Sus scrofa: one gene and its partners. The main gene of each other region encodes a partner of the protein of the gene in region 2 in a complex. Links are inferred from orthologs where the notes say so. Each region holds a gene or a part of one and is shown on either strand. Other genes may lie near its edges.

The links.
Region 1: TUBGCP5 (region 2) and NME7 share a complex: the UniProt entries of both Homo sapiens proteins name them as parts of the gamma-tubulin ring complex. The link is inferred for Sus scrofa from reciprocal best matches to the Homo sapiens genes TUBGCP5 and NME7.
Region 3: the proteins of TUBGCP5 (region 2) and MZT1 are in contact, whole or in part, in a crystal structure (PDB 6L81), measured with the Homo sapiens proteins. The link is inferred for Sus scrofa from reciprocal best matches to the Homo sapiens genes TUBGCP5 and MZT1. Residues at the interface, in NP_443135.3 of Homo sapiens: Gln14, Gln15, Asp18, Val19, Glu21, Leu22, Val23, Val26, Ala27, Gly28, Asn36, Ala40, Phe43, Ala44, Asn47, Phe48, Arg52, Phe53, Leu54, Phe72, Lys80, Ser83, Trp84, Leu87, Thr88, Glu90, Phe91, Ala106, Ser109, Ile110; in NP_001065243.1 of Homo sapiens: Glu23, Val27, Leu28, Glu30, Ile31, Ser32, Ile34, Leu35, Asn36, Thr37, Leu39, Leu44, Ile46, Cys47, Val48, Arg49, Leu50, Cys51, Glu52, Gln53, Ile55, Asn56, Pro57, Glu58, Ala59, Leu60, Ser61, Ser62, Val63, Ile64.

The regions. Positions count from the first base shown.
Region 1 is NC_010446.5:81,638,791-81,642,542, forward strand, and holds the start of NME7 (nucleoside diphosphate kinase 7), read left to right. Parts: upstream 1-1,116; 5' UTR 1,117-1,248; coding exon 1,249-1,251; intron 1,252-1,387; exon of another isoform or gene 1,388-1,517; intron 1,518-3,752. UniProt on the Homo sapiens protein: Possesses an intrinsic kinase activity. Displays 3'-5' exonuclease activity with a preference for single-stranded DNA. Does not seem to have nucleoside diphosphate kinase activity.
Region 2 is NC_010457.5:31,998,685-32,002,336, forward strand, and holds part of TUBGCP5 (gamma-tubulin complex component 5), read left to right. Parts: intron 1-25; coding exon 26-134; intron 135-2,670; coding exon 2,671-2,767; intron 2,768-3,633; coding exon 3,634-3,652. UniProt on the Homo sapiens protein: Component of the gamma-tubulin ring complex (gTuRC) which mediates microtubule nucleation.
Region 3 is NC_010453.5:45,008,967-45,012,618, reverse strand, and holds part of MZT1 (mitotic-spindle organizing protein 1), read left to right. Parts: intron 1-155; coding exon 156-301; intron 302-3,652. UniProt on the Homo sapiens protein: Required for the recruitment and the assembly of the gamma-tubulin ring complex (gTuRC) at the centrosome.

The DNA of each region.
Region 1 (3,752 bases), on a different chromosome or scaffold from region 2:
AACTTAATTTGCATTTCTTGGTAAAAATTAAAATGTCATAGCATATATTTTCAGAATGTATGCATGACCTTACTAAATCTTAGTCTTACTAAGATTCAGGCGAGAACATGAGAAGGAAGGTAATACTAATGCAGTGATCACGAATGATGAACCAGGCACTAGATGACAAATGGTTTCACTCACAAAAATGATAACTCTTGAGTACTCGATATAACTCAGCATAGCGTCTTCCGTGCCTACCTTCCTTAAAAGTCACACCCCCGCCGCCACTGTTCTGAAAAATAGCTCTCCAAAGACCCTTCGCAAGAGCAATGAACCCTCGGAAGATGCGCAGGGAAATGTACAAAGGTCTGCAGGCAAATACTAATTGAAGGGGGTGGGGGTGGGTCTGGAGTGTGTAACAGGTATGAAGGTGGCAGGAGTGGAAGCGACAATCCTGTCAACCTCTGCCATCCCCAGAAGTCAAATCCAAAGTTCCGTCCCTGTCTGAACAAACCTTCCTGGAACAACGGGCAACCTTTCCTTAAATCTAAAGCGACTGAATGAACAACACACTTCAATCCAAACCTCTGTCCCTTTCCAAAATCCCCTCTCAGTTACACAAGCCCTTTCCTGGACTTACCTCTCAGATTCTTACTCTCCCAATTGCAGGGGGCCTCACTTTACAGGTTCTTTGGCTAGATATCACGGGTTAACTTCCGCGCACACTCCTCTAGCATTCCGAAGCCGATCCGCCCCAACCTTGGGGACATCAAGCTTTTGGTTCACGGCTAATTACTTCCGATTACTCAGGGTTTCGTTTCCGGAATACTTTTCAGAAGGAAAACACTTTTGGTGCCATTTAAACTCAAGTGACGCAGTGACGCAGAATATACGATTCAAGACTTCAGTAAAACAAAACTGGGTAGACTCTTATTAAAAAATAAAAAAAAGAATACTTGGACCCTAGCCGCATATAAGCCTGAACTTCCGGGTCGCCTTTCAACCAAACGGAAGTGATGATGCTGGAAAGAGGTAGGTGGTGTTCCGTTGCTCCAAGCTACGGCGTGAAGGGGCGGGTCGGTCGGCTGGGTGGGCGGAGCTCTATTTACTCCCAGCCACTAAGGACAAAGGGGCGGGGTAGTGGCGGCCCGCTCCGAGTCCGGCAGTAGGTGGGGCTCTGTTGCCAGAGTAACCTGGCGTTGGTGTTGGTGTAGGTGTTTTCCAGTCGCAAAGTTACCTATTTCCTGGTGCTGAGATCCCGAGGCGATGGTGAGTGCAAGGCGGTGTCAGAAGAAAGGCATCGCGGTCTTGTTTATGCTTTGTCCCAGGTCCTGGGGCGTCTGGGCGTTGAGAGGCATCCAGATCGCTTCTACCTTCGGCTGGTTATTTCTTTGTCCCTTTCCAGGAACTGTCCGTGCAATTTCCTCGCTTTCCCTACTTCTTGCAGCACCCTGAATTACACTTTGGTCCTGCTGAGCCTGTAGAGTATTGTGACAGGAAGTTTAAGGCTAAGACACGGAGTCTAGTAGTCTGAGGTGAGACCTTATTTCGGTCAAACATTGGAGATGTATGCATTTTTCATCATTGCATTTTTTTCAACCTCTCAGCTTCACTTTAACACGCTTCATTTAAAAGTATGTGGTGATGTTTATTTGACTTTTTCATGACTGATCCGAATCTCTCTGAATCCTGTAGTCTTTGCTCTCTTGAGGGCCGAGTACCGTTCCACACCCTAAGGGCCACCTAATAATAGCTGCATTTTGCACTAGCCCTAAATTATACAGTTGATTACCTTTTAACAGGAATACTCCATAATATCACTTGGAAATCACTTCTGGAAAATTCACTTGCTAGAGCTTCACCTTCAGAAATTCTGCATGAATAGAAACAGGCTCCATATTTGCATTTTTAAAAAAGCCTATAGATGATTTTCATTCGATCACATGTTCGAGAATGCCAGGTATGGCTATGAAATTAAATATGGAGACCCACCCAGAGTTCCCGTTGTGGCTCTATGCATTAAAAACCAGAGTAGTATCCATGAGGATGTGGGTTTGATCCCTGGCCTCGCTCAGTGGGTGAAGGATCTGGCATTGCTGCAAGCTGCCGCTTAGGATTTAGCCAGAACCTGGCATTGCTGTGGTGTAGGCTTCGGATTGGACTCCTAGCGAGGGAACTTATATATGCCACAGGTGTGGCTCTAGAAAGAAAGAACAGCAACAACAAACAGAGATCCACCCACCACCCCTTCTTTCTCTGTTAGGTCTTGTGTTTCTAGTTCAGAGAAACAGGTATTGAAGGATAATGCTTCCATCTTTGCTCTAGATTTTATTCCCTCCCATTCCTTATAGGACTTTCTGCTTTTGGTTATATTTTTTTCTTTCCTGTGCTTTCAGCCTCTTCCTCACCATTTCCTTCTCCCCCCACCCCCCCCCCCGTGTTCAAGCCATACACCTTAAGAAAATGAAATAAAACAAAAGCACACCCCCAGCCTGTGTTCGTTCAGTTTATTGCCTAGTCCTCCCATTTATCAGTAAACTGCTTGAAAGCATAGTGCTTCCATTTGTATCAAATTCAGCTCTTTACTTTCATCCTCAGCACTCAGTTATCTGAATTCCTCTAATGGCTTCATGAAGTTGTTCTTGCTTAAATTTCTTATGGCCAAATCCAGGAGTTTCTTCTCAAAATTTATTTAGCCTCTCTTTGATAGATGAAGCTCATCATCATTCATTCCTTCTTTTTTTTTTTCCCCACTGGCTTTGCCTACTTTTTAAATGCCATTCTCTGGGATTCATTCCTTAATTTCTTAGTCTGTCCATTTTCTTTGGCTGATTTCATCCACACACAAGTGTTCCACTAATGCCTAAGCATTCATTCTTAAATTTCAGTTTCATCTCAGACCTGGTAAGCATTCATTCTTAAATTTCAGTTTCATCTCAGATCTGGTAAGACCTGGACACTTCTAGCTGGTTACCACAAAGGCCCCTCAAACTCAACCAAAACTGAACTTGCTGTCTTTTCACCTGGCTTTTTTTGTTTCACCAAGTTGATGCTACCACTATATTTATAACCTAAACCAGAAACCAGAGTTTTCCTACACTCCTTTCTCTCCTATGTCTTCTCTGTTCAGTTGGTCACCTGATTCTGGTTTAGTTTCAGATTTCCTCAATTCTTTTTTTTTTTTCCTTCGCTTTTTTTAGGCCTTCACCCGAGGCTTATGGAGATTCCTAGGCTAGGGGTGTAATCAGAGCTACGGCTACCAGCCTATGCTTCAGCCACAGTAATGCCAAATCTGAGCAGCCTCTGCAACCTACACCACAGCTCATGGCAACTCTGGATCCTTAACCCACTGAGCGAGGCCAGGGATAGAACCTACAACCCCATGGTTCCTAGTTGGATTCATTTCCACTGTGCCACGACGGGAACTCCGAGATCTCCTCAGCTTTTGCTTGCACTGTTGTAGTAGTGTCTTTAACACTCTGGTCTGGTAATTCTTCAATTCATTATTTTCTCTACCACAAGAAGGAATTTACTGAACCCTAAATCTGTTGATGTTAATTACCGCTTTAGAACTCTAGACTCCTCATTCCCAACAGTATAAAAATTCAGCCTATCTGGAATGGCATACAAAGCCTTCTATGATCTAGGACTTAACCTGTCTTGCTTCTGTCATGAAACTTTCTTAGACATTCTTTTAGTTACTTGCCTTTTCATTGAACATTCCAAGCAACTGCAAACTGGTGGTAAGCCTCTTTCCTCTACTTTGCACA
Region 2 (3,652 bases):
CAGGTGATTTTTTTTAACATTTTAGAATTTATGAAAAATTCATCATTCATTCTGATCTCAGCAAAGCTGCTAGTTGGAAGAGATTAACTGATGAATTTCTAAATGCATCTCTTCCAAGTATAAAGGAAATAAAGGTATGCTGTATTGTGAGATCTTGGTTGTATTTTACTGTTTCCAATCTGATTATCGTCAGCCTGTTTCTATTCACATTTAACAGTCATTCTATTTTAGTATTATTATCCACTGAAGAGAACCAGATTCTCGTGGAAGTTGACTTGTGTTGCCATCAAATCAGTGTGCCTCAGGCTTGTGATGAAAGAAGTATGTTCTTATTTAATCATCTTAGCCCCAACCTATTATGGACATTGAGATCAGAGACTGGCACAAATAATAGCACTGTCTGGCTGTCTTAAAACTTTTAAATGGCACTTGGCAGTAATAACTATCTATATAGATGTCAGGTGCTGTTCTGAGCACTTCCATATTTAGTCATGGGTCTCTTAGGCTTAATGATATGTTGGAAGGATTCACAGAATTTTTTTCTTTCTTTTTTTTCTCTTTCTTTCTTTCCATTCATTCCCAGTACCTGTGGCATATGGAGATTCCCAGGCTAGGGGTAGAAACAGAGCTATAGCCGCTGGCCTACACCACAGCCAGATCAACGCAGGATCTGAGCTGTGCCTGCTACTTATACCACAGCTCATGGCAATGCCTGATCCTTAACCCACTGAGTGAGGCCAGGGATCAAACCCATGTCCTCATGGATGCTAGTCAGGTTCGTTAACCACTGAGCCATGATGGGAACTCGCCCATCTTCTTTTTCTTCAATACATTTAGTGACTTTGGTGAAAGCATCATATTAGCTGATTGATAGATTAGGTTTTGGCCATTAGTGCTAATTTTTAGTTCAGTGATTACTTCAATTAATGAGTCCTCTAGGTGTCAAGCTCCCTTATAGATTTTAGTGAAATAAAGAAGTGCAGGGGTAGAGGAATAGCATCAACCAGGTCCTCTTCGCAGGACCATGTGCTGCTTTGGGGCATCTCCACACAGCTACAGGGTAGCAGTTCTGGTCCCTGGCAAAGCAGGGAGGTCTTTTACTGTGTGTGGTTCTCTTTCACTGGTTATATTCACCTGTTTTCTGGTGTACAGAGTCCTTCCAAAGTAAACAATTGACATTAGCAATTACTACTACTAAATAATTTATGTATTGAGAATTATTTTCTTCGGGTATTTACATTTTAGACCACCTTTCTCTGGGGAATAAGAGAATTTAAGGCATTTCCAAGTGGAGAGATTATTCACAGAAGGGCAGGTGCATGTGGTCTTATTAGTGATGTATTGGCTTATCATGCCCAGGAAAGTCTACCGAGTATCTGCTGTGTCCCTAACATCACTGGGTGGTAGGAATACAGAATAAACAAGAGATGGTCATCACTGCCCAAGTAGTTATTGAATAGTTATTTAATTGTAATTATAAATACCATATACAGTACTATAGAACATTTGAAAGGGAAGGCTTGCATGAGATTGCCCTTACCATCCTTGAATTTAATTCATCTCATCTTTCCATGCATAGTTTATGACTTTCAGCATATTTGGAGTACTTGTATTTTTTGGCAGTTTTTATAATTTATTTTAAATTATTTATTTATTTATTTCGCTTTTTTAGGGCTGCCCCTGTGGAATATGGAAGTTCCCAGGCTAGGGATTGAATCAGAGATGCAGCTACCAGCCCATACCATAGCAACATTTGGTATCTTTTTATTATTTATTTATTTATTTTGTCTTTTTGCCATTTCTTGGGCTGCTCCCGTGGCATATGGAGATTCCCAGGATAGGGGTCTAATTGGAGCTGTTGCTGTAAGCCTACTCCAGAGCCACAGCAACTGGGGATCCGAGCCGTGTCTGCAATCTACACCACAGCTCACTGCAACGCCGGATCGTTAACCCACTGAGCAAGGGCAGGGACCGAACCCGCAACCTCATGGTTCCTAGTCGGATTCGGATCGTTAACCCACTGAGCAAGGGCAGGGACCGAACCCGCAACCTCATGGTTCCTAGTCGGATTCGTTAACCACTGCACCACAACAGGAACTCCTTAATTTTTAAATTTTTAAATTTTTTTTAGGGCCGCACTTGCGGCATATGGAAGTTCCTAGGCTAGAGGTTGAATTGGATCCCCTACGCCACAGCCACAGCAACATGGGATCCAAGCCACATCTGCAACCTACACTATCGCTCACGACAATGCCGGATCCTGGGGTGAGGCCAGGGATTAAACCCGCATCCTCTTGGATGCTAGTCGTATTCTTAACCCACTGAGCCACAAAGGGAACTCCCCACCCTTTCTTTTGTTGACCTTGACATTATTGAAGAGAGCAGGCTAATTATTTGGTAGCTTGTCCTTCAATTTAGGTTTGTCTAACAATTATTGTATATGATTCAGGTAATACATTATTTGACAGGTTCCTTATCTGTACATGTTTGAACTATAAAAACAAGTTTAGAGATTGAGATTGTGGTTTTTTTTTAGGTATGATTTATGTTTTCTCAAACCAGGGGGGAAAAACTGAGGACCTAACTGTCATGAGGTTATCTTTTCTTGAACAAGTTTAGAAAGCTCTTACCAACCTCTGTGAATCATGTTTTTCATTTCTTGTTTTAAAGACAGATGCCCATTATTCCATACTGTCACTTCTTCTATGTCTGTCTGATTCTCCTTCAAACAGCAATTACGTGGAAACACCAAGAAATAAAGAAGTGGGTACGTTACTAAATAAAAAGTTGTAAAAAGTCTTGAAACTGAAATATTTCTGTTGCCTTGAATGCAGTTGTGATTTTCATTTCATTTACAATATAAATTCTGACTTAGTAAGTTAAACTACTTTCAGTTCTATGAAAGAGAAAATTTCTTTTTTTTTTTTTTTTTGTCTTTTTAAGGCCGAACCCAAGGCATATGGAGGTTCCCAGGCTAGGGCTCGAATTGGAGCTGTAGCTGCCAGCCTATACCACAGCCACAGCAATGCCAGATCCCAGCTGCATCTGTGACCTACACCACAGCTCATGGCAACTCTGAATCCTTAACACACTGAGGAAGGCCAGGGATGGAACTCGAACCTCATGGTTCCTCGTTGGATTCGTTTCCACTGCACCACAACAGGAACTCCTTTTTTTTTTTTTTTTTTTTTTTTTTTTGTCCTTTTTAGGGCAGCATTGTGGCATATCGAGGTTCCCAGGCTAGGATTCGAATCAGAGCTGTAGCTGCTGGCCTTCACCACAGCCACAGCAGCACGAGATCTGAGCTGAGCCTATGACCCACACCATAGCTTACGGCAATGCAGGATCCTTAACCAACTAAGTGAAGCCGGGGATTGAATCTACAACCTCATGGTTTCTAGTCGGATTCGATTCCGATGAGCTACGATGGGAACTCCAAGAAAAATTATTTTTGAGGATGAAAAAATGTTAACTGTGTTATAGAATGTCAGTTTATGGAGTGTTTCAGTATTTTTGATCTCTTATTTCCCAAGTGTATTTTATTTTGTGCATTGTTAGATTTTTTACTATAATTTCAGAGTTTCTCCTACATGTTTTTGATAAAGCTGATGAGATTCTTCTATTATATTTTAGAGAAGAAAGATGATTTTGA
Region 3 (3,652 bases), on a different chromosome or scaffold from region 2:
GTAAATTTATTTTTAAGTTTCTAGAAGTAAGTAAGGGGAAGACAGTATTACATGCCAGTTTTCATATGCAGTATTATATGAACTAAAAATGGAAGTATGTGCATGTTTTTAAATGTTACAAGATTTTTTTAAAAATTCCTTCTGTCCTTTTTCAGTTCTGCTTGAGATTTCAAGAATTTTGAATACTGGATTAGATATGGAAACTCTGTCTATATGTGTCCGGCTCTGCGAACAAGGAATTAACCCAGAAGCTTTATCTTCAGTTATTAAGGAACTTCGCAAGGCCACTGAAGCATTAAAGGTAGAGAGATTCGTGTGTTAGCTCACTCTAAATAAAGATGCTTTCGTTTAGAAAATGATTAATGATGAAGTTAAGTGCAAGGCCCTGAACGTGATTAAACTAGCATCTGTCGTCCTCAGGAGAAATTCTGAAGACCAGGAGCTGGGTGGCATGTGTTCAAATCACAAAATTTGCTACTCTCTGGACCATGTTATCTTTTCTGGTCCAGATAAGTCTCCAATTGTGTTTAGAATTTTCCTCATACTGTGGGTAAAATTGTATCTGCCCCCAAAAAGATATGCATGGGTCTAGTGCCTGTGAATATATCCTTATTTGGAAATAGTGTATCTATAGGTATAATCACATTAGGATGAGATCGTAATGGTTTCATGACCAGTGTCCTTAGAAGACAAGGGACATGTGGACGTGGATACACATGTGGACATGGATACATATGAAGACACAGGAGAGAATGCATGGGATGACCCAGGCTGAGATTGGAGTGATGGTGTCTACAAGCCAAAGAAGGCCCAGCAGAAGCTAAGAGGCAAGGAAGGATGCTGCCCTAGAGCCTTCAGAGAGAGAATGGTCCTGCTGACACCTTGGCTTTGGACTTCTGCCTCCAGAACTATGAGAGCATAAATTTCTATTGTTTTAAGCTACCCAGCTTCTGGTACTTGGTTAGGGCAGCCCTAGAAATCTAATACAGATTGACTACTGGAAAGTAGAGTACTGCTGTAAGAAATAACTAAGAAATGTGGACATGGCTTTGGAATTGGGTAATGGATAGAAATTGGAAAGTTTTAAGAGGCTTGATAGAAAAAGCCTAGATTTTAAGGCTGTCGTAAAACTCTAAGTGTTAAAGGTGATTCTCCTGAGGGCTCAGAAAGAAGAGAGAAGAGCTTCAGTCATCTCAGAATACATATATCATCATGAACAGAATCTTGCTAAAAATATGAATGTGAAAGGTGCTGCTGATGAAGTCTCAGAAATGAGTTCATCAGTTGGGGACACTGGAAGAGAGGCCATCCTTGCTATAAAGAACACTTGGCTGAGTTATATTCTGTTGGAAGGAAAACAAAACTTGTGGACTTCCCATTGTGGCTCAGCAGTAACGAACCCGACTAGTACCCATGAGAACATGGGTTTGATCCCAGGTGTCCCTGGGTTAAGGGAGCTAGCATTGCTATGAGCTGTGGTGTAGGTAGTAGATGTGGCTCATATCTGGCGTTGCCATGGCTGTGGTATAGGCCAGCATCTGTAGCTCTTTTTCAGCCCCTGGCCTGGGAACTTCCATATGCCACACATGCGGCCCTAAAAAGCAAAACAAACCTTTTAAGCAGTGACTTGAATATCCAGCTAAGGAAATTTCCTAACAAAGTGTGGAAAGTGCAGCCTGATTTCTCCTTGCTGCTTATAGTAAAATGTAAGAGGAATGAGAAATTGAGGAAAAACTGGTAAGCAAAGAGGAGCTGGCTCTTGCATTGGGAAAGTCTCAGCCTACCCAGACAGCATGTTCTGGAAAGAAGGCTGGGAGTGTGGCTGGACAACCTTTAGGTGAAGAGATAATAAGGTTGTGTGACTCAGATACAGTCAGGCTATCTGGGCACAAAACCATGCCAGCTTGGGCTGAAAGGGAACAGTGCAGGACGAAGTGCAGGAAGGCTCTGAGACTTCTGGGATTCAGTAGGCAGAAAGCTGACTGATGGAGCTCCCTGCCTGTGTGTTCATCCTTCAAGAAAAGGGAAGAGTCCAGAGGCCAGCACACTGCTTAGGCCGATAGAGCTGCACAGGCAATACGGACCCAGAGGGCCACCTATTTTTGAATTCAAATTCACAACTTTGTTTTCTTTTTAGGGCCACATCCATGGCATATGGAAGTTCCCAGGCTGGGGTCAAATCAGCACTGCAGCTGGGGGCCACAGCCACAGCAACACTAGATCCAAGCCACATCTGCTATCTACACCACAGCTCACATCAACGCCAGATCCTTAACCCGCTGACTGACACCAGGGATCGAGCCTGTGTCCTCATGGATACTAGTCTGGTTCGTTTCCGCAGAGCCACGAGAACTCCCAAATTTACAACCTTTTAATTGCCGAGATTGGGAATAGGAAAAGTGTCGTGTTCCCTCACATGCTTCACACCCTCTGATTTAAAATCTCAGGTGATTGTATTTCCATGTTTATTTATTTATTTTTTTATTTTATTTTCCCACTGTACAGCAAGGGGATCAAGTTACCCTTACATGTATAAATTACAATTACATTTTTTTTCCCCACCCTTTGTTCTGTTGCAACATGAGTATCTAGACAAAATTCTCAATGCTACTCAGCAGGATCTCCTTGTAAATCTATTCTAAGTTGTGTCTGATAAGCCCAAGCTCCCGATCCCTCCCACTCCCTCCCCCTCCCATCAGGCAGCCATAAGTCTTTTCTCCAAGTCCATGATTTTCTTTTCTGAGGAGATGTTCATTTGTGCTGGATATTAGATTCCAGTTATAAGTGATATCATATGGTATTTGTCTTTGTCTTTCTGGCTCATTTCACTCAGTATGAGATTCTCTAGTTCCATCCATGTTGCTGCAAATGGCATGATGTCATTCTTTTTGATGGCTGAGTAGTATTCCATTGTGTATATATACCACATCTTCCGATCCAATCCTCTGTCGATGGACATTTGGATTGTTTCCATGTCCTGGCTATTGTGAATAGTGCTGCAATGAACATGCGGGTGCATGTGTCTCTTTTAAGTAGAGTTTTGTCCGGATAGTTGCCCAAGAGTGGGATTTAGGGTCATATGGAAGTTCTATGTATAGATTTCTAAGGTATCTCCAAACTGTTCTCCATAGTGGCTGTACCAGTTTACATTCCATGTTTATATAGCACTAACGCCACGTGAATACTGAAACTTCAGGTCAGTCCCTTTTAAAACTTTCTAAGGACAAAGTGGCTTCTCTCTACCCTTTTTTCTTTTCTTTGAGGAACAGACTTAGAAAACACATAGCTTACCCATCTCAGATGAAGTTACTCTCCAGTAATTTCCAATCATTTGAGTTTTTGGTTTTGTGTAATTTAAAACTTTTGGATTTTTATTTTATTTTATTTTTATTTATTTATTTATTTTTGTCTTTTTTGCCATTTCTTGGGCTGCTCCCGTGGCACATGGATGTTTGCAGGCTAGGGGTCGAATTGGAGCTGTAGCCACTGGCCTACACCACAGCCACAGCAACGTGGGATCTGAGCCATGTCTTCGACTTACACCACAGCTCACGGCAACACCACATCCTTAACCCACTGAGCAAGGCCAGGGATCGAACCCGCAACCTCATGGTTCCTAATCAGATTCGTTAACCACTTAGCCAGGATGGGA